Linked DNA regions of Caenorhabditis elegans. Changing the gene in region 1 together with any one later gene gives a genetic interaction. Each region holds a gene or a part of one and is shown on either strand. Other genes may lie near its edges.

What was found.
Region 2: of sos-1 (region 1) and spv-1, changing one enhances a phenotype caused by changing the other (phenotypic enhancement), as found in Caenorhabditis elegans (one large-scale study listed by BioGRID).
Region 3: changes in sos-1 (region 1) and pax-3 together harm fitness more than expected from each alone (negative genetic interaction), as found in Caenorhabditis elegans (one large-scale study listed by BioGRID).
Region 4: of sos-1 (region 1) and irx-1, changing one enhances a phenotype caused by changing the other (phenotypic enhancement), as found in Caenorhabditis elegans (one large-scale study listed by BioGRID).

Annotation. Positions count from the first base shown.
Region 1 is NC_003283.11:4,546,253-4,551,284, reverse strand, and holds the start of sos-1 (Son of sevenless homolog), read left to right. Parts: upstream 1-1,993; 5' UTR 1,994-2,005; coding exon 2,006-2,125; intron 2,126-2,177; coding exon 2,178-2,264; intron 2,265-2,374; coding exon 2,375-2,461; intron 2,462-3,412; coding exon 3,413-3,715; intron 3,716-5,032. UniProt on the Caenorhabditis elegans protein: Promotes the exchange of Ras-bound GDP by GTP. May regulate signaling pathways downstream of receptor tyrosine kinase, egl-15 and let-23.
Region 2 is NC_003280.10:7,925,650-7,930,255, reverse strand, and holds the start of spv-1 (Spermathecal Physiology Variant), read left to right. Parts: upstream 1-1,600; coding exon 1,601-1,751; intron 1,752-1,833; exon of another isoform or gene 1,834-1,911; intron 1,912-2,081; coding exon 2,082-2,219; intron 2,220-2,710; coding exon 2,711-2,798; intron 2,799-2,954; coding exon of another isoform or gene 2,955-2,986; intron 2,987-3,667; coding exon 3,668-3,740; intron 3,741-4,606.
Region 3 is NC_003280.10:10,144,616-10,152,598, reverse strand, and holds the start of pax-3 (Paired box protein 3 homolog), read right to left. Parts: upstream 6,030-7,983; 5' UTR 5,752-6,029; coding exon 5,710-5,751; intron 5,280-5,709; coding exon 5,182-5,279; intron 5,137-5,181; coding exon 5,040-5,136; intron 4,342-5,039; coding exon 4,158-4,341; intron 3,749-4,157; coding exon 3,674-3,748; intron 644-3,673; coding exon 354-643; intron 295-353; coding exon 154-294; 3' UTR 1-153. UniProt on the Caenorhabditis elegans protein: Transcriptional activator. Regulates the lateral/ventral epidermal cell fate decision.
Region 4 is NC_003279.8:9,535,931-9,542,614, forward strand, and holds irx-1 (Putative iroquois-class homeodomain protein irx-1), read right to left. Parts: upstream 5,037-6,684; 5' UTR 4,956-5,036; coding exon 4,935-4,955; intron 4,403-4,934; coding exon 3,941-4,402; intron 3,741-3,940; exon of another isoform or gene 3,601-3,740; intron 3,346-3,600; coding exon 2,986-3,345; intron 2,486-2,985; coding exon 2,275-2,485; intron 1,269-2,274; coding exon 1,189-1,268; 3' UTR 535-1,188; downstream 1-534.

The DNA.
Region 1 (5,032 bases):
ATAGTGATTTCAACAAAAAGTTGTTTCCAGCTGCTGCGACATTGAGAAGTCGGTCAAATTTCAAATTTTAACTAAACCTAGGCCATTTTTTGAGCCACCATAACTTTTTTAAAACAAGTTTTCAAGATGTTTCATTATAAAATTCGGTGTTTTCAGACTATTTTGAGTTTAGTCAAGAAATAATAATCGAAATAAAAAATCGACTACACCACTTTTAGCATGAGATAAACGATAAAAGTATGCAATAAAGGGTGATAATTTAATAAAAACTGTAAGTAAAATTCCAGAGGCTGCCATAAGCAAGAGTTGCCGAAATTTCGGCTTTTTTTTCGATTTTTTTTTAAGAAAAAAGTCTCATTATGATATCCAGTCAGTTTTGGTCTATTCAAGCAAAATAACCAAAATCTCTACTACTTTTCAAATTTCTTCAATTCGATCGAATTTGACCTCAAAAAAATCGAAACGAGAATCAAAAAAGAGTCGACCTTGAAGTAGTGTATTTGTGTTGATTAGGTGGGGCTACTGATTGCACTGCAAATCAATAAATATATAAAGTCTTCTCAACAGATCAAACTGGTTCGAATAGAACAAGGCCGTGGTGAGAGATGGTGGCCGGCCGTTGTCGGGTGTCCATTTCTCTAGAATCTCTCACAGATTCCTGCAGTATTTCGTCAGCAGCCGCCGGCGGGTAACCCCCCGCTTCCCGTTCTCATCCCGTATCATTCTGTCCGCTTGTCTGTCACCTCTACGCTTCCATCACACTCCATCTTTTCTTCTATTTCTTCTTTTCAGTGTGTGTGTTGTTCCATGCATTATTTTTGCGGGTTGTAATCATCATCATCATCGCCATCATACACTTTTCTCCTTCTTCTCCATCTTGCTTTTCTCGCTCTCGTCAATATAGTTTTTGTCTTAAATAAACTTTGCAAAAGTGAAAATTTAAAAAAATATATAAATTCGTTCCTTGCATGCAGATTTTTTTTTCTGAAATTGCCGGAATTTATGTTACCAGCCAGGGATGTCCGGCAATTGTGGTTTGGCAAATTTTCTTGTCCACAAATTCGGCAAATTGCCGATTTGCCAATTTGCCGGAAATTTCGATTTTCGGCAATTTGCCGATTTGCCGTTCGCCGGATATCAATTTGCCAGAAAAATGAGGGTTTTTTATATATTTTTTTATATTTTTCATAACACTTAAAACTGTGCCTTTTTGAAATTTTTTTCCGGTTTTCTTTAGATATTTTCATAGAATTTGCTAACTTTTCAAAATAGATGTAGGAACATTCATAGGATGCGTACAATTTTGCTGATTGAAATTGAACTTCTGGAATTCCCAAAAAAAAAGTGCAAGGCCACAATTTGCCGGTTTGCCGATTTGCCGGAAATTGTCAATTCCGGCAATGTTGATTTGCCGGAAAGTTAGCAAAAATCGTTTGCCGATTTTTTCCAGCAAAGCGGCAAATGGCCGGAATTGAAATTTCCGGCAAATTGGCAATAAACCGGAAAAGTGGCAATTGTCGAAAATTTTCGGCGAAACGTGGTTTTGCACTTCTTTTTTTGTTGGAAATTTCAGAATTTCAATCTAAATCGGCGAAATTGTACGCATCCTATGAATTTTCCTACGTCTGTTTTGAACTGTAAGAAAAAATTTAAAAAAGGGGCAGTTTTAAATGTTCCCATCTTATAAAAATCCCTCTAAACATTTCCGGCAAATTCCAATTTTTTCGAGGAATTGGATTATGTTCCATATATCAACGAAAAAAAAAACAATTTTATTAAACAAAATAAATTGAAAAAATTCGGAAATTTTTCATTTGACGGTATATGCTAAAATATTTTTTTCTGTTCACTTTAAGGTACTTCTGGTGATTAGAAAATTTAAAAAAAAATCGATTGTCAGCGTAAGAATTTATTAATTCATGAATTTTAACTCGTAACTTATTGTTGGCCCACTAATATATTTTTTCCTAAATAATTCAAAATTTCATTGCAGATGGTCATATAAATGAGCATAATGAGCATATCACTGCACTCGGCATCATCGGATACGGTCTCGTTGACCAGCCGACGAACAATATCAACTAGTAAGCATTGGGCGGCTATTTTTGATGAAAGAATTTATCAGGTTTGTATATATTTGAATATTTCCTGAATTCAATAATATTTTTCAATTTCAGATATGCAATATCGTACATCCTGGCCTCCCGATTGACAATGCTGCAGTTGAGCACATTCGATATTTTTTGCAAAGTATCGTTTTTGAGGTATATATATATATGTATATATCGGTTTTTTTTCAAATCTAACAAATAAATTAATATTAATAAATTCCCCCTGTGCATTTCTTGACCTTGTAATCCTTTCCCCTCTTCAGCTCATCGAAGCACGTGCCACAAGTGTCGTCGAAGTGGACAAAACTGCGAAAAAGCTGTTCGCATTCGGTCTGCAGACTGTTTGTAAAGTAAGGGATTTTCAAAAAATGTTTCCAAAAAATTTGTATATTCATAAATCATCAAAAAAGATCGTGATTTGATTTTCAAAACTATTCATTTTTTGTCTTTTATCCTGAATATTCAAGTTTATGGAATTCTTTCCGCTTTAAAATATTTTATTTAAAATGTACTACGAGAACACAAAAATCTGAGAATGCGTATTGCACAACATATTTGACGCGCAAAATAACTCGTAGCGAAAAAGAAAACTACAGTAATCCTTCAAATCACTACTGTAGCGCTTGTGTCGATTTACGAGATCTCGATTTTCGTATTAAAAGCGATGGAGCTTATTTCGAAAATTGGGCCCCGTAAATCGACACAAGCGCTACAGTAATCATTTAAAGGGTTACTGTAGTTTTCGCTACGACACATTTTGCGCGTCAAATATGTGCAATACGCATTCTCAGATTTTTGTGTTCTCGTAGTACATTTTAAATAAAATATTTTAAAGCGGAAAGAATTCCATAAACTTGAATATTCAGGATAAAAGACAAAAAATGAATAGTTTTGAAAATCAAATCACGATCTTTTTTGGTGATTTATGAATATACAAATTTTTCTTTTTTTTGCCTAAAAAATCTGGGTTTGGACAAAAAAAATATTAAAAAAGTAGTGAAATTGGTGAAAAAACCAACAAAAAAAAACGTTTTCCACCTAACATAAATACAAGAAAAATGAAATATACTCTTTGGGAAAAAAATATTTTTAAAAATTCTAAAATTCTGAAAAACCACAAATTAAAATGAACAAACCACGAAATATTGAAAAATTCAACTTTCGAAAATTTTCGTGATTTTAAAATTTGGATTTTTCAGAATTTGAGACTATTTTTGAATTTTTCGGAGCAATATTCCCCCTAAAATGTGTATTTTTTCTGATTTCTCGAATTTTCTTAAATATTATTTCAAAATTTGCAGGAAGCCTGGGACAACATGCACCAACAACTCCAAAAGCACAAATATCAAAAAGCCCTGAAAACAGTTCTAGAAAGCCAACATCGCCTGGCAGCAGTCATCAAAGAAACACTTGGACCACGAGAAAAAGAGAAAAAAGATCGAGAAAAGAAGGAAATCGAACGTATCGCATGCTATATTTATTATGCATGTGAAAGTGTTACTGAAGATGTGCTCAGGCTGACTGGAAATTATGTGAAAAATATTCGAAATAGTGAGCAAAAGATTACGATGGCTAATCTTGATGTGGCGATGAACGGGGATAAGGTACTGCTTTTTTTTGGAGAAAAATATAAAAAAAACCTATTCAGCAGAAAATTTGCTTCGAAAAAATAAAAATAAAAATAGTCTTGAATTCAGAAAAAACCAAAAAAATCGCAATTTTAGCTAAACACAATTTTGTTTTCGAAATCGAAAAACGAGAAAAAAATTTTTTTTTTGAAAACAAAACATTTTTCGCCGAAAAATACGAAGAAATAATAAATTTTTCGCCAAAAAACACAAAAAAGCGAAAAGAATAAACATTTTTCAGTTTATAACGTTATTTTAAAAAAAAACTTGCTTATTTTGACCAAAATTGCATTAAAAAAAATTCGAGTGTGATTTTTTGGAATTTATGTAAAATTTAATATTTTTCTATATTTTTCAATTTATCAGAATTTTCCGCTTTTTATCAATCTTTTTTTCGAAAAAAAAGCAACAAAAAAAAACACATTTTTCGCCAAAAACACGGCAAAATCTACAACCCTGACTGCTGCGACCAATCAGCGATTCGCTCCGCCCATTCTTCAACCAATCAGATGGAGTGGGCGGAGTTTGGTGGCGCTGATTGGTTGTGCAGTTTTCGTTGCGGTGGGAATTCAAAGTTAGCCAAAATTTTCACGATTTTCTTGTGTATTTTTTTCCGAATTTGAGACTATTTTGGTTATTTTGAAGCGAAAATTCAAAAAAAAAAAATCCCAGAAATTTCTGAAATTGACCTAAATTGACCTGAAAATCGATAATTAGACTTGTTTGCAAAGAAAAAAAAAAGGAAAATCTAATTAATATAGCCGTCGGCAATATTATTGCCGAAAAACGATATATTAATTGGGTTTTCTTTGTTTTTTTTCTGTTTTATAATTGGAAATATTATTTTTTCAGACTTTTTTCTGGAAAAAGGGTATAATTTTAAGATTAAATTATCGGTTTTTGGCCAATTTTGGCTAAATTTGTTTCAAATTCTCTTTTTTCATAAATTTCATCTCAAAATTATATTGCATATGTCCACTTCGTGCCAGGCTGTCCCATTACGGTTTGATCTACGAAAAATGCGGGAATTTTTTCCCAGAAAAAATGTGACGTTAGCACGCTCTTAACCATGCGAAATCAGTTGAGAACTCTGCGTCTCTTCTCCCGCATTTTTCGTAGATCAAACCGTAATGGGACAGCCTGACTCCACGTGTATCTGCACGTGGTCTCAAAGTGTCCCATTTTGGTTTGATCTCCGAAAAAGGCGGGACGTCACATTATTCCGAGGAAAAAATTCCCGCATTTTTTGTAGATCAAACCGTAATGGGACAGCCTGACTTGACTACGTGTATG
Region 2 (4,606 bases), on another chromosome or scaffold:
TATTTGAAGCTATGTTTTGTGTATAGATTAACACTTTTTGTTTAAGTTACGCTGTAATAGTTTGTTTTTCTGGAAAAATAATGGGAACTGCAACAAGAAAATGCTCTTGTTCTAAATTATACTCTACAATATAATTTCTCTTTTCGAATTGTGACACAAAAACTGAAGAACAAAGACAATAAAGTTCGGAAATTGAAATTGAGTTCTCTTGAAATTTTTCTGAAAAAAAAGCACACATTTTTCCTTTTTTTCTGAATTTTCCGAAAAAAAGTTGTCCAGTTTCAAAAACAAAGCAAAAACAAAAACAAAGTTCCTTATTTTAAAAAGTTATTTTTTCCATTCTAGAGTGCTTTTTGAGCATTTCCGTTTCGTTCACCCAATCTGTGGAACCAACAAAAGAAAGCGTGGGGCAGAAAAAGGAAGAATCGCAGACGTCATCCTTCTCTCTTGTGCTCCAGAACATGATGATGATGATGCGGATAGGAAAAGGATAGTTTTTGAGAATTTTTTTGGGAAAAGTTTTCACACCATATTTTGAAAGATGTTTTTTCTCTATTTGAATTTATTTTCATTATTGAAACTGAAATTTCCGGGGTTTCCCATTTTGAAATTTTGAGAACAAGATATTCAGTTAAGAGAATAAATTCAATTATAAAATTGGATTTCTGTAGAAAATTTGTATCATCGTAGATAAAAAAAAAATGTAACGACAAAAATTGTATTCATTCATTTTTTATTTTCTACTGCTATTTTACATTCCGTTTCTGTTTTTTTTTTTTTGGAAAAATAACTTCATATATCCTATTTTCCTCTAAAAGATCCGTGTTCTCAAAATATCAAGAAAATTTCCTGATTCTTTCATTTTCAATAAACCGAACCCTTTGATCAAACCACAGTTCTTGCCAGTAGGCGTTTTCTCACGCATTTCAAGTATCTGCTCCTTTAAAAATTTTAAATTCAGAAATTCGAATCTTTTTGATGAATTCCTTTTTCAAACATTGTTGATTTTAAAATATTCTACTATCAAAATCGCGAAAAAGAGAAGGAATTCGTTGTTTTCACCAAAAAAAATGTATAACGGGAGTCTAATTGATTAGATCTGTCTTTTTTCTTTTTTCGTGACAAAAATGTGAATCCATGTATCTTGAAGCATTGCTTTTCAAGGTTTATGAACTTTCAAACCACCTCTGTTATCAATTTTTGAGATCAGTGAAACGTGAAAAAGAGGAATAGTTCCAGTAGAAAGGAAGGCATTTTTATTGGACTTTTTTTGAAAACTAGCTCAGTAGGAATAGAAAATAGATATATATTTTCCTGGAATGTGCTCTTGTTTTTCTCTAGTTCTCATTCCTAAAAGTATTCTGGAAGTGTCTGAAAAATTATGTCATATCTCTATCGCGCACAACTTTTTCACAATTAAAAACGGAAATATTTTCTTTGAAGCTCTTTTTATGATTATTGTTTTTTGTTGTCTTCCTTTCCTTCGTTGATCATGGAATACTCTTGTAATTGAAACCGCTTCAATGAGCTCTTTCTTTAATTTATTCTCAAATATTTTCAGACAAACTCTCAGAAAGTTGACTGAAATCAAGTCGACGCAATGTCGTCGACGAGCAGTATATGCTCTTCAAATGATGCCGATTTCATTGTTGACACCAGAATTCCGGCATCAATACGTAGAGATATTGATCGATTTTCAGTTTTTATAAATCGACTTCGGTCAACTTTGGATCTCAATTCTTCGGTTGTTGGTATGTCTGAAAATTAAATTTTTTTAAAAATTATTTATAGAGTGTAGCGGAAATTCAGGAAAACGCGCAAGGTTAAGAAAATACAACTAGATTTTTAAATGTAATGTTTCGGTGAATGGTTTAAAATTTGAAACTATTTTTCAGCAAAGCCTTGAAAATCGAAAAGCCTATTTAATAATGTACTAACAGTTATTTTGGAGCACTAAATGTTTTATCTGATCCTTGAAGTTTCCTACGATCGAACTGTAACTTCCAGAGCTTACATGTTTTTTTTTTAAATTAACGTTATGTAATACTCAACTTCCTCATCTGAAATTACAAATTTTGCAGACGGTGAATCAATGTGTGTAAATGTGCATGCATCATTGGAAATGGTGTCAGAATCCATGCGGGACTTGTTTAAATACTCTCAATTCAAAACAAATCCCATCATTTTGCTGTCTCTTCAACTTGTGCAAGCCGTCAAAGGTATGTGTAAGTGAGAGCATATTCTCTCATCTTCTTCTCTTCTGTTGCTCTTCTGCACACATTTCTCATTTAATTTTACTCTCTCTTTTCGTGGAAAAAGACAAAAAAAAGTTGTTTTATGTGCATCATCACAGGAATACTAAACGTATTTCATTAGGCCAATGTTCATTTTATTTCCGGCATCATTTGATAGTTCCTCTGATATTCCAATATATTTCAGTTTCAGAATTACTATTATTAGGTTTAATTCTAGATACATGTTATGTAATTGTTTATTAGGAGTTTGAGCTTTTACATAATTTTGTAAAAATTGTAACGATTTGACTTTATTGGCGTAGAATTTTATCAGTCATAAAACCTACAACGATTTCAAAAAAATTAATCTCAAAGTTTCATTCAATCAGTATAATCAATTTGTAATGCTGTTCCGTACACTGACACCAGTCTTCTCTGAACCTGTCAAGAGAAGTCTGAAAAATTGTTCATTCCAGACTTGAAATTTGATACGTGCTCTGTGGATACGACTCCGGTTCTGAACATTATCGATCAGCTGGAATCAGCTGTTTTAAACATCATTCTGTGAGTTCCCGTCACCTTCATTCCCACACACCCACATTTCTCACCTCGTTCTTTTTTCTTTCGATCTTCCTCTCTCAATGATTTGTTTCGGTTTGATTTTTGAGAGTTAGACGTTTTTCCCTCTACCGGTAGGAGGAATGCGTGTTTAGGTGAAATATGGATTTTGAACGAGGAAGGAATTGGATAAGGTAATTCAAAAACTCTCGAAAATTCTCTAAAACATTGTATTAATTAGAAAATTTAAATAGCTTGTTTTTTTAATTGGCAGTAGCCTTGAGAAATTGTTTTTAACCTGGTAGTTCGGAATTATATTTTTTCTTGCATCAAAAGATTGTTTAAAAAAATCAATTCAAGTTTTATATTTTTCGGAAAAATTGATTGAGCTTATCCTTTCTGTAAACTGAAACAATTCAAAAGTTAAACAAGCCATTTATTCATTCGATTTATTTTTGCATGGGAATATTGATCATTCACATCGTTTCAATTGAATGATGCTGTTTCAAATGTTCAAAATATTTTCTCTGCAAACGCTGCTCCGACGAGACGCTACTAGATTAACGGTCTACGCTCATATACCAAATCACGCATCCAGTAAAAAAGTGTGTCTAGTCGCGCCTTTTCTGTACCTTTTTGAAATATTTAATTGTTTAAAACTTTCTCACACAGATGGAAATGCCAATAAATATTGGCATTTCACTTTTCTGGTTATAACTAAAATGTTAGATTATTCAAGATTTAACAAAAAACGTTGTTTCCAACGAATTTAGATTCTTTCTAAGTAGAAAACTACGCAGGGTTTTTTAAAAATCTGAAAAGAGCGTTTAGTGTTATTGAAATTAAATTCAAAATTATTCATTATTCATTTTCAGAAACCGTCATATTGTTTCATCGGTTCATCATACGCCGAGTAGAAGTTCAACGTTAGGTCGCTGGAAACAAAATGTAAGCTGCATTCTGATCTACAAAAAAATCTTAAAATTGATATTCCAAAAATTTCGAGAAACGTTGTTTTTTGGTAGCGGTTGCTCTCCTGTTTCGTTTACATACACATACGTATTTTGTTTTTGTATGTGTCAATCCATGGTTTTCTATTTTCCCTTTTCTTCAACTTTTCGTTCTTCAATTCACTCCCAACCTTTATTCATAGTTCTTCTTTTTCAGTTCATTTACTAAATTATTTGTTTAATGCGGTCTCCCAGAAATAGGTCCTATGGGAGAGTAAGTTGAAACATATTTGATTAATAAGATTTTGAATAGTATAAAACAAAATTTCCTGCTGAAAAAGTGAAACATTTGAACATCTATTTATGTATGAGGAAAATGAGTTTCAGATTTTCTAAATCGTATTTGAAGTTCTTTAAATCCCAAGTCAGCGATGTCAAAATAGCAAACCAAAACCATGAGTCAGATGACAATATTCTCCTCAAATTTTCCAAAAATTATGCAAATTTTTTTATCTTATGTTCCTTGTGATCTGTTCAAATTTATTTCGAAAATTGTAAAACACAATTATTATAATATTTTTCTATTAGAATGAAACGTTTTATAAAAGCAAAATACGAAAATAATCCGGTAATGTTAACTAATAAACTTTCAAATTTAACATTTTTGATAGCAAGATTTCTGAAAAATGTTCCTAGTGAAAACTGTTCACAGTTGTTTTAAATTGTGGTAAAAGTTACTTTTTTGAATTTAAGTTTTGCTGCCTTGAATACAGTAACCTATTTATTCAATGACAGTTTAAACTAAAACATTTAAAAAAAAAGAATGTTTACTATTTTCTATAAAACTGCAATATTCTGATTCAT
Region 3 (7,983 bases), on another chromosome or scaffold:
GATTTAGATAAGTTTTGGGAAGAATGGGTGAATTCTTAAGGTAATGTTTTAAAATTAATTCTGGACTTTCAAATTAAATTTGTGTATCAATTTCTGATCGACTTTCAAATATCACAGGTTTTATTTGAAAGTTCAGAAATAAGTTCAAAGCGTTTAGCTTGATGATGGCGGAGATGATTGACTTGATGGGGGACTTGATTGGAGTATGTGTTGAAAGAATAACGGATTCAATTGAGGACTCGTTGAGTAGGAGGGTAGGAACATCATCGGTGAAGGCAGCAGCGTTGGGTAGGACTGAAAATCAAAGTTTTAGTAATTTGTTTTCTAATATATAGTTTCGATTTCTAACTAACCGGCGGAGATGATCCAAAACCTTGAACATTGTACTGTTGATACATTGGCATATTTTTCCGACATCTTGCTCGCCGATTCGAAAACCACGTCATAATTTTCTCTTCGCTGAGCCCTGTCTCCTTGGAAATGCTCTCTCTGGCGTTGGCATGTGGGTAAGTGTCTGCGCGGAACGCATTTTCAAGAACATCTAGTTGCTCGGCAGTGAATGATGTACGATTTCGACGAGACGATGCGTCGTTTGATGGTGAAGAGCCCTCTTCGTCATCCGATGACGATTTGCTGCATTCGTCTGAAAATTATTTTTTTGAAAGGGGTTATCATAGCTACCATTTTTGGGTACGTGAATGCATTTTTGAATTTTCATTAACAAACTCTATACATCCTCTCTCTATACAGACTTTCGAAATGTGGAACTAATATTTTTCATCTGCCATTTTTTTCATCCGTTGAAAATCGAAAGGGCAAATGTTCCAGGCGTAATTAAAATAACAAACATTTTCAATAGCATGCGACGTCAAAAGTTGAAGTAACTATTGCAACTAGAATATATTTGATACCAGGGAGGCTCTAATGAATAATGAGCATGCTGAAATGCCTTTCTGAAAGGCTTCCGGACTCGCCTGCCTCGAGACTGAAAATTATTTGAGTTCCGCATACGTTCTATTTCAAAAATTCAAAATCAGACCCCCGCCTATCAAGCATTTTCCCTCAAAATCCGGAAATCAATGAGTCAATTGTAAGGTATCTAACAGAGAAAGACTACGGCCTGCCAGTCGAGTCGCCCAATTACTATATATAATGTTGCGCCACAGTGGGTGGTCTCAGTCATGTCGTAGGCCTCTCGCATAGACACACTTCTCTAAAAATAATCGATAAAGATCGGGAGAGACCCTATTGCGGGTGGGGGAGGGGGGGTGTCTCTTCTAATTTATAGACTTGACACCTTTGTGTACTTGAGAAAGAGATATCATGTGGTGGAATGGACCCTATTAATTTGTTTTTATCGTTCCATTTTTTGACGGATCACTCCATCATCACCGTCGTTTCTCACATCCAAGTTTTATGAGCTGTGCGCTAATCGGTTTCTGTCACAGGAGTATTTTATAGTGACGGAAGGAAGGAAGGTAAGGTTATTTCTATACAATGTTCTAATTTGAAGAATGTCGATTTCAAGGATGCTCAACTTGATCTTTTATCTCATTAATATTTTTCATCCGTTCTTGTCAAATCAAAGCAGATTTCTACCGCACTTAGTCCTCTTTCTGGTAATAGTCTGCAGAAAACTTTAGCTACTTGCCGAGTAGAGTAAGATTTTCAAAAATGAATTCTCCCTTAAGCATACTGTAGTTTTTAACGATATCGTTCTATAATTCCCAATGCTCATTAAGAACGGCGCGGGGGAGTGCTATAATATATTCCCATTGAGCAATGTATTCTGAGCGTATTCCAGGAAGAAGAAACTTTTGTTTCCATTTCTTTTTTCACCTGGAACTTTATCACTCCAGTCTCTGATACCTAAATATCAGTCGTTGCGTTGTGTTTTCAACGGCTACCTATTTTTGGAAAATATTAATTTTTGTTACTTATGAATGTAATAGAAATATAGACATGTGGAAAATCATGGAAGTATTCTGACAAATTCGGGAAATTTCTGAAAAATCACGTTACCGCACCGCCGAGTTCAAACTTTGGTTCAAGGTTTGTGGTGGAGAGAGGGTAACTCGGACTCGGTAAAAACTTGATAATAAACAAGCTCACAATGATCTGTCATGCCTGCCTGCCTTCCAGGCAAGCTGACCAACACCTACTAACGATCTTGCGCAACATACCGTAACCCACATCCCTAACAATCATATTGTCAAATGTCAAATGTCAAAGTTTTAATGTGTTAAATTGCGGATATGTATTATGTTCGTATGCATGTGTTTGCTTTTTTTCGCGCATCCCAATCTTCTCTCGCGCCAGTCACTCGTGTGCCCATCCTGATCAATTGGCCGCGAAAATATGGAATTTATTGGATCGTTTTCTCCTCCTCCTACCTACCTATTTGAATAGGCACCTATCAAGTGCGCAAATCTTCTCCCCCTATCTTAATTGCTACGTGTATGCGAAAATGTGCGAAGTTGAGCGGTGGTTCACAATTTAAGGAATGACAAGATTGACGACAAGTTAGGAAGCGGGAAAAAACGGGACAGGAAGAGAGGGGAAGTGTTGAAAGTTTTGGAAGACAAGAAGTTGAAACAGCAGGAGGTAGTGGCATGACCCCTAGAAATTCAAGTAACTTGCAAAAACATAAGTTTGTGGCTGTCTAGTTTCTTATAAAAAGTAGGCTAAAAGTTTTGGAAGTTTTAAAAACCAAAAATTTCACTTTTATTCGTTCTATATAAACAGTCTCAAAGCTGTTGTTAAACTTGAATTTTCAGACAAAGATTTAATGAAACTGTTTGGAGTGCCGAACATGATAAAAATGCCTGCCTGCGTGCCTACAAGGTAGGCGTATGATGCCTGGAATTTGACATGCTCTTTCTTTAGATTACGATTTTCTTGCACAACTACCGTACCCTACCGAATGTGATTAACAACTGAGCACAGATCAAACAAGATTTTAGGATCAAAAGTGCCTGCTTACCGGACATCAAGGCGACCTACCTATAGGCTTCACAATGCAACATCAGACCCTAGACTTCACACCAAGATGTAGACGAATAGGCAGTAGGCAAGCTAACAGGTAGGCCTGAAGACACGCGGGACATTCCGGTACGCTTGTTGCAGATCAGGAGAAACAAAATGCGGTACACTACCGTAACCCGTAATTCAATCAGTCATGGTTCTCTCCCTGAAGATCTCCGTGGCGGCGCACAGCATGCAACTCACAAACAAATACGATGGTCTTGTTGATTAAAATCAACCCCTGACGCGTGCCCCCTTGTCTAATTCACATCATTCTTCACCGACGCTTCTTGTCCTTTCCGCCCCCACTTCTTCAACGTCTTCGCCTTTATCGTCTTATCACACCGTTAACATACACAGCGACATACAGGCGATACTAATCAAAGTGTTAATGACCGTTATTATATCAAAGAAGTCCAATATACAGTATGCCCTCTGGCCCCTTTGGGAATATTGGGAGGAATGAAAACTTTCATGCTACGTCTGTTTGTGTGTTACTATATGGCAGAAGAAAATTGAATTGAAAGAACGGAATGTTGCCTGATTGAACAGGAAATCCGACACCCAAAAAAGGTGTTGGAGGACATGAGACAAACGGAACGAAATTATAAATGTGTGAAATCAAGACTATTCCAATTAGACCACTTACCAATTGAAATTCCCAGAATGCTGTCGATACTGTAGCTCAGCCGTTTTCGTTCCATTTTCTTCGGAACCCCGACGCCTGCAAAAAAGTATGTGGTGATTTGTGTGAAGATAAATATTGATAAGGAAATTAAAACAAAAAAAAGTGATAAGGAAGATATGATGAAAAAGTGCAGCAAAAAAGATGATATGATTGGCGTGAAGAAATGATTGATGAGGTTATAGAAAGTGATAATTTGATCGAATATGTCTAGAAGTTCTTCTTGTGAGGTTTGTTGAATTTTTGTGGAAAATCACGCATCAAAAAATGACGCCCAAGCAAGTTTCCATGAAAGTATTCGAAACAAAAAAAATCGTTGTCAACAGTTAAACAAACACAACCACAGCTATCAGAAGCGGAACATTCATCAAACGAAACGAATTTCTGTTTGTTTTTCATCTATTCCTCTACCTTTTTTTTGCCTTCACAGTTTTCATCATTATTATACCTTTATTCCCAATAAGCCTTTTTATCGCAGGTACTGTTGGAGCATTTCCTTTTGTGCAAATGTCTTTGTGAATAAGCCAATCTCGGAGCTCTGCAGCGCTCATTTGTGGATTCTCATCACATGCGATCAGAATTTCTTTCTCGACGGCTTGGACTGTAAGTCGAGCGCGGGGACTTCCACCGATCTGAAATTAATTCATAGATATTTATGTTTAAAAAGCATTTGCTTTCGCTAGGCTTATGTAAGAAATATGACGAATATTTTCGGCAAATCTACAAAACTGCCCAATCCCAGATTATAACTCTTTTTTTTATTAAATTAAATGTAGAAATATAGATAGAAAAATATTTGATCAGTTTGAAAATATCAGTTATTTGCATTGAAATAGTCGAGAAAAATTTCAAAAACTGTTTCAAAGTTGTCATTTGCCGAAAACGTTTTGATATCAGTTCTTGGAAAGTTTCAGGTTGTTTTTGAGATGATTTTAAAGTTTATAAATGAATAAAAATTGTTTTGTATATTTGCACTCCCCGTTCTACACTCTTTGCCGTTTTGCAACCAACAAAATGGAATTTTCAAGAATTCAAAGTTTACTTTTTTTGGAATTGTAATTACCGTATGTTTTTGGTAACCAAAAACCTAGTAGACAACAACTACTTTAACAGAAACACAGACATCCGACGCATTTTTTGAAAAATGCCGAAAAGTGCCACCCGGGGCGTCGCACCTGCGCGACCCGCCAAAATTGAGTATTACGGTACTTTTTTGAATCAGGACGACGACACGCGGCACGTGTAGGCAAACATTAAATTTTATGGTTATGATTCGCCTGCCTGATGACCTAATTAGCAAATTATCTTATCATCCAGAAAATGCACTGACCTGTCCCGGAGATATTGAGCCCGTCTCGGCGTAACGATTCAAGATTTTCGAAACAGCTCCATGAGATACTTTGAGTTGACGACTGATGTGACATGGTCTAAAAGATTATTGTTAGTGTTCTCTAGAAGTTCGGACTACTTACTTTATACCCTTTTTGGCCATTGAAATGATAGCATGACGAACGTGAATTGGAAGGGGTCGACCGTTGATGAAAACTCCACCGAGTTGGTTAACACGACCCTGAATTAATTTTGGGCTTCAATAGAGGCGGTGAGAAAGGAGAAGAAATTGAGACTTGGAAAACTCAAAACATATTTTCAAAAACTTTTCAAATGCTATGAAAATCTAACTTAAGGCTAACTATAGTAATGATACTATCTAATTTTTGTGATGCTTGATGAGCTCTATTAACAATAAATCAAAAGTTTCTATAGGCTACAACTTCAAACTGTATAATTAACAAGAGCTTAATTTTAGCTCCTTAAAACGTCTGAGCCAGTATAGAAATAATTCGAAATTAACGTACATTCTAGAACCATCTAGAATTTCCAAAAATTTCTTCAATCAAATTTTTCCGGGATACATCTCCTACTTCTAGACATTAAAAAATACCTGAGCAGTAGTTTATGCACTACAACTAGAAAACAACTTATCGAAACCATAGACTTACCTGCCCAAGAATGTGATTAAATGTGATAGAATCTGTGGTCATTTTGTTAGTAGTGGATGGGATATCAGGAGCACGTATGGCTGGCCCCCAATATACCGAATGTGTGAATATCAGGTATATAGCGTGAAAACTTAAGGAGCGAGTAGTTTCGAGGTGACACGCCTTGTCGAACTGTGAATGGGCGGGACGGCGATCCCGCCCACCTATGCGCATGCGCGGTCTGTTACAGGCATGCATAGTCTCGAGTACGGTAATCGAAACCAGCGAGACATAGAGAAGGGCGAAAGACACGGGCGGTAAGCATCAAAGGACGTACTAGTAGATGTTGGCGCGGGGTATGTGGGTTTGTTATCAGAGATATTCTGACTAGGAGGTGGATTTTTGGAGATGAAGATTTATGTGCTCGATGGTTTTGATTTGAAAGGTCAATGTTTGGTAGTAGCACCTGCAAAATGGTGATTCACCTGTGGATAGTCTCGAAGAAAAGGACATCTAGGAGCGTGCGGATCTTGCAGATTCAAAATATTTGCAGATAGCTACATAGATCTAAGCAGTCCACCGTGCTTCTGGGTGAAGCTAGAAGTAACTCTAACATGAAACTGGAACCAGAAACGAATACTTCAAAACTTTAAAAATCGTTCATGTCCATTAAAAGCTTAAACAGCGTTAGAATTATTCATGCTACTAATATTTGAAAACAGCTTCTTAATGGATTTCAGACAAAGTTTACTTTCTTTGTTTGCTTTTTCGATTATGTGATTTGTTGGACTTACCTAACACAAAAATAATTTTCTGATTACCAAAAACATACATATTCCAAAAGTTGCAATTTCACGGAAACAAGAACAGATAGAACAAACAGACAACTTTCGAGAGTAGTGTAACTTGTTGGCAATGACCAATTTCCCCATTTTCATTTCCAGTGTTCAAAAGTGTAAACATATTTTACAAACAAAAGAGGTCAGGAGGAAAAGTGCTTCGAGGATACGGTACAAATATTTCCAATGAGAAATTTAAAGATATGACTTTGCAAAGATCGACTACATTCTTGCCTACCAGCCTACGGGTAGGTTAATTTGAAATCTGAAAAAACTAACATATATATGTATCTGTAATTTGAGACCAGTGTTAGTTGTAAGTTTGGAAAAATAGTTGTCACCTCTATTCATTCAGATTTTCAAGTATTTCTATAACTATTCTTTTTTCAGTATCCCTTTACTCTGTCTTATCTGATTATTCAATTTCAGACGTTCTTTTAGACCTATCTGTTTTGTGTCGGCCCGACTTAAGAACCTACTTGTCTTATCTCGATCTACAATGTGCAAAACAAGTTCATCCGCGAACTGTCAATCAATAAATTGCTCGCAATTAGCGAGTCGGTGTTTGGGAGGGCTCGTGTTGGGAAAGTTTATGTCATTGAGATGAATAATGGTATTTTTAGTTGTTTACCGACGGTGTCTAAAGATATAAATCTATTCTAAACTACACAATTGGAGAATTATTTGTGAGTTTCAGTTAGAAACAAAACGTGAAAATATGTGAAATAATGTGAAATAATCCTAGTCATTAATCCTTTATTACCCCATACAAATAGCCTTTTAATACCGAAAACACCTGAAAACTACACGTGCATTACCCAATCAACAAGTAGGGCCCAATTTCTTTTTCGGCACGTGTCACATCATCATTTCCTTCTTCATCTTCCCGGATTGCGCAAGGTTGTCTTACACCATTTTCCTGATAATCTGGGACCATGTTATCAGGGGGACGAAGAAACGGTGGCGGTATCGTTTGAAGTGGTATGCGGTCATAATTAAGGGCCACGCGCCGATGTCAACTTTTGGGGGTCTTCACACCTTTGTAACACTTGGATATATCTTTATCTATCTATCCGGAGAAGTGTGAGATGATGATGATGCGGGGTTTTCCGCTATCTGAAAAGGGCATCATCTATGGAGAATTGATGGGCTGAGTGCGGGAGTTTGTTGACAAAATGTGAAAAGAGTTTGTCCCAGCCACCGTGTTACAGTGTCTCATTAAACTCTACAATACTTATGTCATTATTGTAATTTCTCAAATAGATGATACAACACTTTAAAGGCACACACTGTTTGAAATGAAACATTAGAAAATATACTAACTTCAAATTAAAAATATGAAATTCTTGAAAATTTAGCTTATTGACAGCTGTCTCCATTTATTGTTCGAAGTTCTGGATTCTTATTATTTGTATTTCATCATAAGACTACAGTAATCCAAACACCTTTCAGCTCG
Region 4 (6,684 bases), on another chromosome or scaffold:
TATTTATTTTATCAGATTTTTTAAGAATCATGATATTTCTTTTTAAAAAAAGCTTCCAAAATGTACATATGTCTACATTTACACATCCCCTAAATTTCAAGAGGTCGGCAAAAAACAGTAATGGGAAAATAAACTAAAAAGACTTCAATTGAATTTTTAAGTGGAAATTTAAAAAAAAAACGCTAAAACGTCTAAATATCATTGTGAACCTTTTCAGAAATTTTTATTTACAGCCAAAATGTGGTGATAACTTAGTTTTACCAATCATAATTTGACAGTCGACCAAAAAAAATATATCATCAACCAGTTTTATACGTTTTTAATTTTGTTTCTATAACCATTTGTGTTTTAAAAATTCTATGTTTTTGAACATGAAGCAATGCTCAAAATTACTTTAAAAGTGCACGTTCTTGATAACCGAAATGTTGTCACTAATTCAGCCTGCAATTCTTTGAAATGGTTGCAGTATTTTGTGCAATTAAATGTATATCCATTTTCATGATTTTTTGTTAGCTTAAAATATATTCAAGAAATAAATATTAAACCTTCTTCATTTTCTAAATTATGCGTGCAGGTTGTTGTATCTTTCTCACAAAAAACTGTAAATTGTCAAAGAAATGAGATGGGATTGTAAGAAAAGTGGGTTTGCGTGAAGAGATTTGAAGCGAATTGGTGGGAAAAAGCAAGAAAAAAAGAAAATTGTTTCTAAAGTACTCCAATTATTGGCGGGAAATTGAGAAAACCGATCATAAGCTCAAAAACTAGATGCATCCTGTGAAAAATTGTGTGGAATTGAAATAATAATAATGTTAATAATGTGAGAAAAAACTGGGAGAAATTGGGGGAAAAAATAGAGAAAGAGAGACAAAAAATTCATAGTCATGGAATTCATATAAAGTTTAAAAGAACATAAAAAAGCAAATGAATGAGAAAGAAAAAGCCTATATGGTGCTACAGTAACCGAATGAAATTTTTGATGGGATGTGAATATTTGGGAGACAATACTGTACTGTACATAGAGAGAGACCAAAATAATCGAAACTTAAATGGGATGGAGAAAAAAATGAAATTCAAAGACCCGCTGTTTATATCATATTTTCTCGATTTCAGAGTTCTTAGTGGAGGAGGTGAAACTTTGAGAGAGTACAATATTCATTTAAAAAAATTAAACTTAATAAGCTGGGGTTTCTACTCTTGGTGGGACCGTGGAGACGACGTTGGAGAAGATGCTGGAGATGGCGTCGACGTCTCCGCTTGAGAGTTCAGACCTGAAATTATTTATTCATTAAAATCAAGGCTTAAAAATTGTTCAAAGATTTTTTAAATATTGTATATTGCAATAAACCTAGGCACCAAGTCAATTAAGCTATATTTCAAAAGTTTTTGAAATTTTTAGTTTTTGAAAGTTTTAAGATTGAGTTGTGTGAAAAATGATCTGATTTTTTGAAAATTATTAAAATCTCCAAAAAGCTTTCAGAATGTTTTTTGCATCTAAACAACCTTAAAATCACTAAAATAATGTAAAATCCGGATTTAGAGCAGCTTGACATGCTTGTATTTGAAGGAATGCTCTGAGAAATTTCAGTTCAACGTTTCAAATAAGACTAGGCTTTCTAGTTTTTCCCCATATTGGTCAACTAGAATTGCTTTTACATGTTCAATAAGTTATAAGAAAGTGTTTCCCATCAACTATACGAACGGATCAAATCGGCAATTTATCATTCGGTGACTTGACTCCGGGAGCAGCGCTCCTTTTTTGGACAAAAACTGAGTGACGAAGAACACGCGGTTTAGAAAAACGAGCACACTAATCCGTGGGGTCAATGAGGAGACACTTACTTCAGTTTAAGCCCTTTTTCGTTGCCTTTGACGTTTCGAACAAAATTATTACATAGAAAAGAACTCCTCTTTCTGAGCTAAAACATTTGAAAAGGATCTAGAACTTAAGTGTAGACCCTCTTTTGTTAATGCCTATCTAGAAGCTGTAGCTACTGAACTTTCCCCTTATAATGTGTATCAGAAAACATACACCTATTATCAGTAAATATGGGATGATTAGTGCATTAAATAGCAAAAAAACTGAGCGTCACGACAGGATAACAACTTTAAAATTAAGAGGATTACGTTTCGACTTTTCTTGTTCATGTACAAGCACGCACGGTGTTCAACTAGCTGTCAATCATTCGGAATACCCAAAAAAAGAATGATAAGAAAAAGCAGACAGGTTGCCATGTAACAAAATGTAAGAAAAGTGTATTCACCTGCTCACCTCACCTGCTTCATTTGGAGGAGTTGTTTGTGGTGCCAAAAGTGCAAGTTGTTGCCCTTGAGCAGCTTGTTGGGCTAGAAGTTGGAACATGAATGGGTGCATTGTGTGACGGAACAAAGTTGGATCCAATCGTGCCATTACTTCCATTTGTTTTTTCATTGCGTTTTGGAACAAGCTTCCCGTTAATAGATTTTCGTCTGATGATGGTGGAGAATCCTAAATAAAAAGATGTTTGCTAGGGGTTACCATTATTCATCATCTTGAACTAAATTACTTCACTTTAACAACTTTATGAAAAATATAAGCTGCCAAAAGGCACTGCTGTATGCTTCAATGTATCTTCCAAGTACAGTAACCCATGCCTAAACTTTACAATATGACCCCCTGATCTCCCATCAATTCCTTAATGTACTTTATGAAAATGTATAAAACCATCATTCAATCATGTTTGTTGTTAAAGCGGCACAGTTTTGTCGGCTGCTTCACACTCACCTCACAAGTTTGCACATACACACATACAAATGATTCATACTAGTTTACATCTCTATAAAATGTGCAGAACAAGATGAAGGGAGAGGAGGACTCTTTATTTGCCCCTACTAAACATATAATAGTTTTTAAGTCCATTTCGTAAAACTGTTAGAATAAGAGGGAAGATGGGGAAAACTATAAAATCTGTACAATGTATTTTATGATCTAAACTTTTTTGCTCTCACCTTCTTTGATGAATCGTCATCTGAAGTGACATCGGCAATCGACCACATTTTTGGTTTACGCTTCGGACTTTCAGAATCATCATTTGGAATTGGGGATACTAGTTCTTTCTTCGGTGTTGTCAACTCATCTGATCCTCCAGATCCTCCCGAAGGCGTTGGTGATGCTAGATGTGGCTTTCCGAATAGGGATTCTCCTTTTCTTTCGGAATTTATGGATGTTGAGCTTGATGGACGGTTCATGTCATCATCATCGTCGTCTTCATCGTCATCACAACCATCGCCTCGTCGATTTTGTGGTGACCAAGTCATCTTGTTCTCCTTCTTCAGTCGTCTTCTGGCGTTAGCAAACCATGTCGAGACCTGTAATTAAAAATATAAATTTCAAGCTTCGGCTTTGTTTTTCGGGCTAGAGTTTATTTTAATAAAATAACTTCAAAGTTTTGGTTCAAACAATTTTAAAATCTAATTTTTGGCGCCAAGGTTGTGTGTTGTTGGTCTATTGCAACAAAATCAAACAAGTAGTAGCCCTATTTGGTTTGAAACATTTCTCGTATTGTGTAAAGAATGTCTCTCGAAACACATTAATTAAGCGGGGTACGAGGTGTCATCATCATCGCTTATCGCCTCTGTACATCTTTTGTTTCTCGCCCCTCTTTTTTTGGCATCGGTCAAAAAAGGAGACATTTGCCCCCGGGGTTTGATGGCCGGTGAGTGGCTAATGTTACAATAACACTGCGGGAAACACTGTCTACTACATTTTACAACAATATTTTTTGTGGTATTTGTAATTGATGACTAGAGGCGGCTCTAAAATCCCGTGTGAGCTAATAAATTGAGCAAATATTGTGGAGTAAATTACGAGATTACGGTTGGTAATAGGCTATTACGGCTATTAAATCATTTCACAGTGTTGCATTTACTAATTGTTGTCAAAACAAGAAATAATACAACATACCTGTGTAAGTGTCATTCCTGTACCAACTGCCAACATAACTTTATCAGCTTTTGATGGATATGGATTCTTTCTATGAGAATGAAGCCAATCTTTGAGTGGTGCAGTTGCTTCTCGTGTTGCATTTCTTTTCTTGATTCCATCTAAACCATATGGATGATATAAACGATGAGCATCACTGAAGAACATGGGCATCGGTCCTGGCCCTCCACCTAATAACATTTCTGGTTTCAGATCTGCTGGAATTCCATGTGGAAACATCGGAACTCCGGGGAAGCCAGCAAGAGTTGCTTGTTGAGCGGCGGCGGCGGCTTGAGCTTGAGCAGCGAGAACTTGAGCCATGGCAGGATGGAAATGAAATTGACCTAAAAGGTTTGGTGGCAGAATTCCGCGAAGTGCATCCGGAGCTGAAGTGGGTGGAGCAGGAGTCGTTGTTTGTGGTGTTGTGGGCTCTTCCATTTTGACCTGGAAATGGATTTACTTTTCTAGTCAGGTGAAGTGAAGGTATCCAAACGAATAAATCTGACATTTGGCATCTAAATTTTTTGGAAGGAAGTATTTTGAGACTGTGTTCAAATGTTGTCTAATCTAAGATTTATGTAAAAATTGGTAGGAATCGAAAACGAAAACCTTGTCCAAGCTTTGACAACTTCTCAACTGCAATTTTCTATATTAGACTTGCACCCCCCTCTTCCTTCACTTTGACAGTTTATATCTCAGTTCTTTGTGGTTTTATTAAAAAACTTCAAACGGACAATTTACTTGCAAAATAATTTTCTATGTTTTGGTTGTATAACACTTTTTGATAAAGCTGAAGGCAACCGAGATATAAACCGCCAAGCAGTGGCGGTGCAAGGTTAACATGGCAATTGGAAAGAGCAGGAAGTTGACTCCAAGTGTCAAGAAGGACAAAAATGAAATAAATAAATGTAAGAACACTACTTGAGAATATAGAAATTATAATTTAGCTTATTAAACTTATCGCTTAAAAACTGACCTGATTGGCAATAGGAATCATTGTGATGGTGTAGTAGAAGTAGATGTGTTGATCTCAGTACAAGTGCAGAAACAATAGTTGATAAGTATGATTATTTATGATCTGAAGAACACATTGATATCAGTTATAATTCCAGAGCAGTTTTTTGTTGAAAAAGATAGACAGAGAGAGTGAGAGAGAGGCAGAGAGGCGACGAAATCAAGAGGGAGCAAAGGAGGAGCGATTCAGTGATAAGCATAGAAGAGAAAGAGAAAAGGTTTGATTGATAATTCTTGAAGAAATTGAGATGATGTAGAACTATGTGGGACCTTATGTTCAACAACTTGTTGAGCAATCTCGATTTTCTGCAGATGCCCGCCCGGGGCCGTGTGTGTCTCTCTCTCTCTCTCAAGTCCCGCCCACCATCCAATAGACATGGAAGCCACAGGGCGGGGCCTGGAGAGTAGGGAAAGAAATTGAAGAAGCGCAAAAAACACGTGCGAACACGTAGATTTAACAAGATAAACCGGAGAAATTCACGAAGAGAAACGGAAAAGAATCGGAGTAAAGAGAAGTAGAAGAAGATGATGATGAAGGATACAAGAATCGAACGGAAAGAAAACAAATTGATGATATGGCAACTAAAAGAGATTGAAAGATAAACAATTAACCGTTCCAGCTAATGATTGTAAGAATGATGATGGTTTTGATATCTTACTATTTCATTGTTTAGTGTTATTATTTCCAAGTTTGATTCTAGAATTGTTATTTTTGTGCAAAAAAAATCTTTCGAACCTAATACCTCTCTACCTCTACCAATTATCAAGTTTGGGAATGAAAATTAAGAAATACAAGAACCAAAAATCTCAATAAATGTATTCACAAGGACGAAGAGCAAACAAGTTGTAAATTTGCTGGCTGGCTCACGAATGGAAACTGAAAATTGAAGCAAATAACGGGAAGAGGAAGCTTTGGAAGGATCATTGCATAGAGTTTAATCCGAAATATTGGCAGGATGAAGAGAAAAAAAGTATAAACATTTGAAAGTTAAAAAGTAAAACGACGGAAAATCTAGAGAGTACTATCAAATGACCCGAACACACAATGGCGCCACGAACAAAAAAAGGACAAAGGAGAAGAAGCTGAAATCAGTGAACTTAAGTCAAGAATGATACATCGTAGAAGCAATTAGGTAATGGTCAGAACGGTTTGTAGGGGGACAAGAATTGAGAGAATAGAAGTTTAAAATGGCATGTCTCTTGTTGTCCGAAGCGGGGTGTAAAGAAGTGTAGCTGCTGGATAGGGGGCGCCGGCGAGAGTAAGTGGCCAACGATGGCGCTGATGACGATGATGAAGAAAAAGAAAATGGAGAAGAAAAAGGTAAAAAAAGAGGACACGGTGTAATACATTTACTATTGTGTCAGTTATTGTGTTAACATCTCTCTTTGGGTCATTCGATCATTTAGTTATTACAACATGTAACAACAACACATATATAGTAACATAAAGTTGCAACAAAAAAAGTTCAATGGCGGAAGTTTGTACTAATACAGGAAGATGTAGGTACATATGAGCCAAACAAGACAAAAAGGTGTATGGTAGGGAGATTGATGTCAAACGATGATGAGAAAGCGATGGAGGAGGAGTCATTGGGCGGAGTCAATCGCCGGGGGAGGAACACGGGAGGTAGGAGGGTGTAGACATGAGGTCGCGGCACAATTTATGAGGAGCTGGAGCCAGAAGATGATGAAGCTGTGGAATTGAAGTAGAA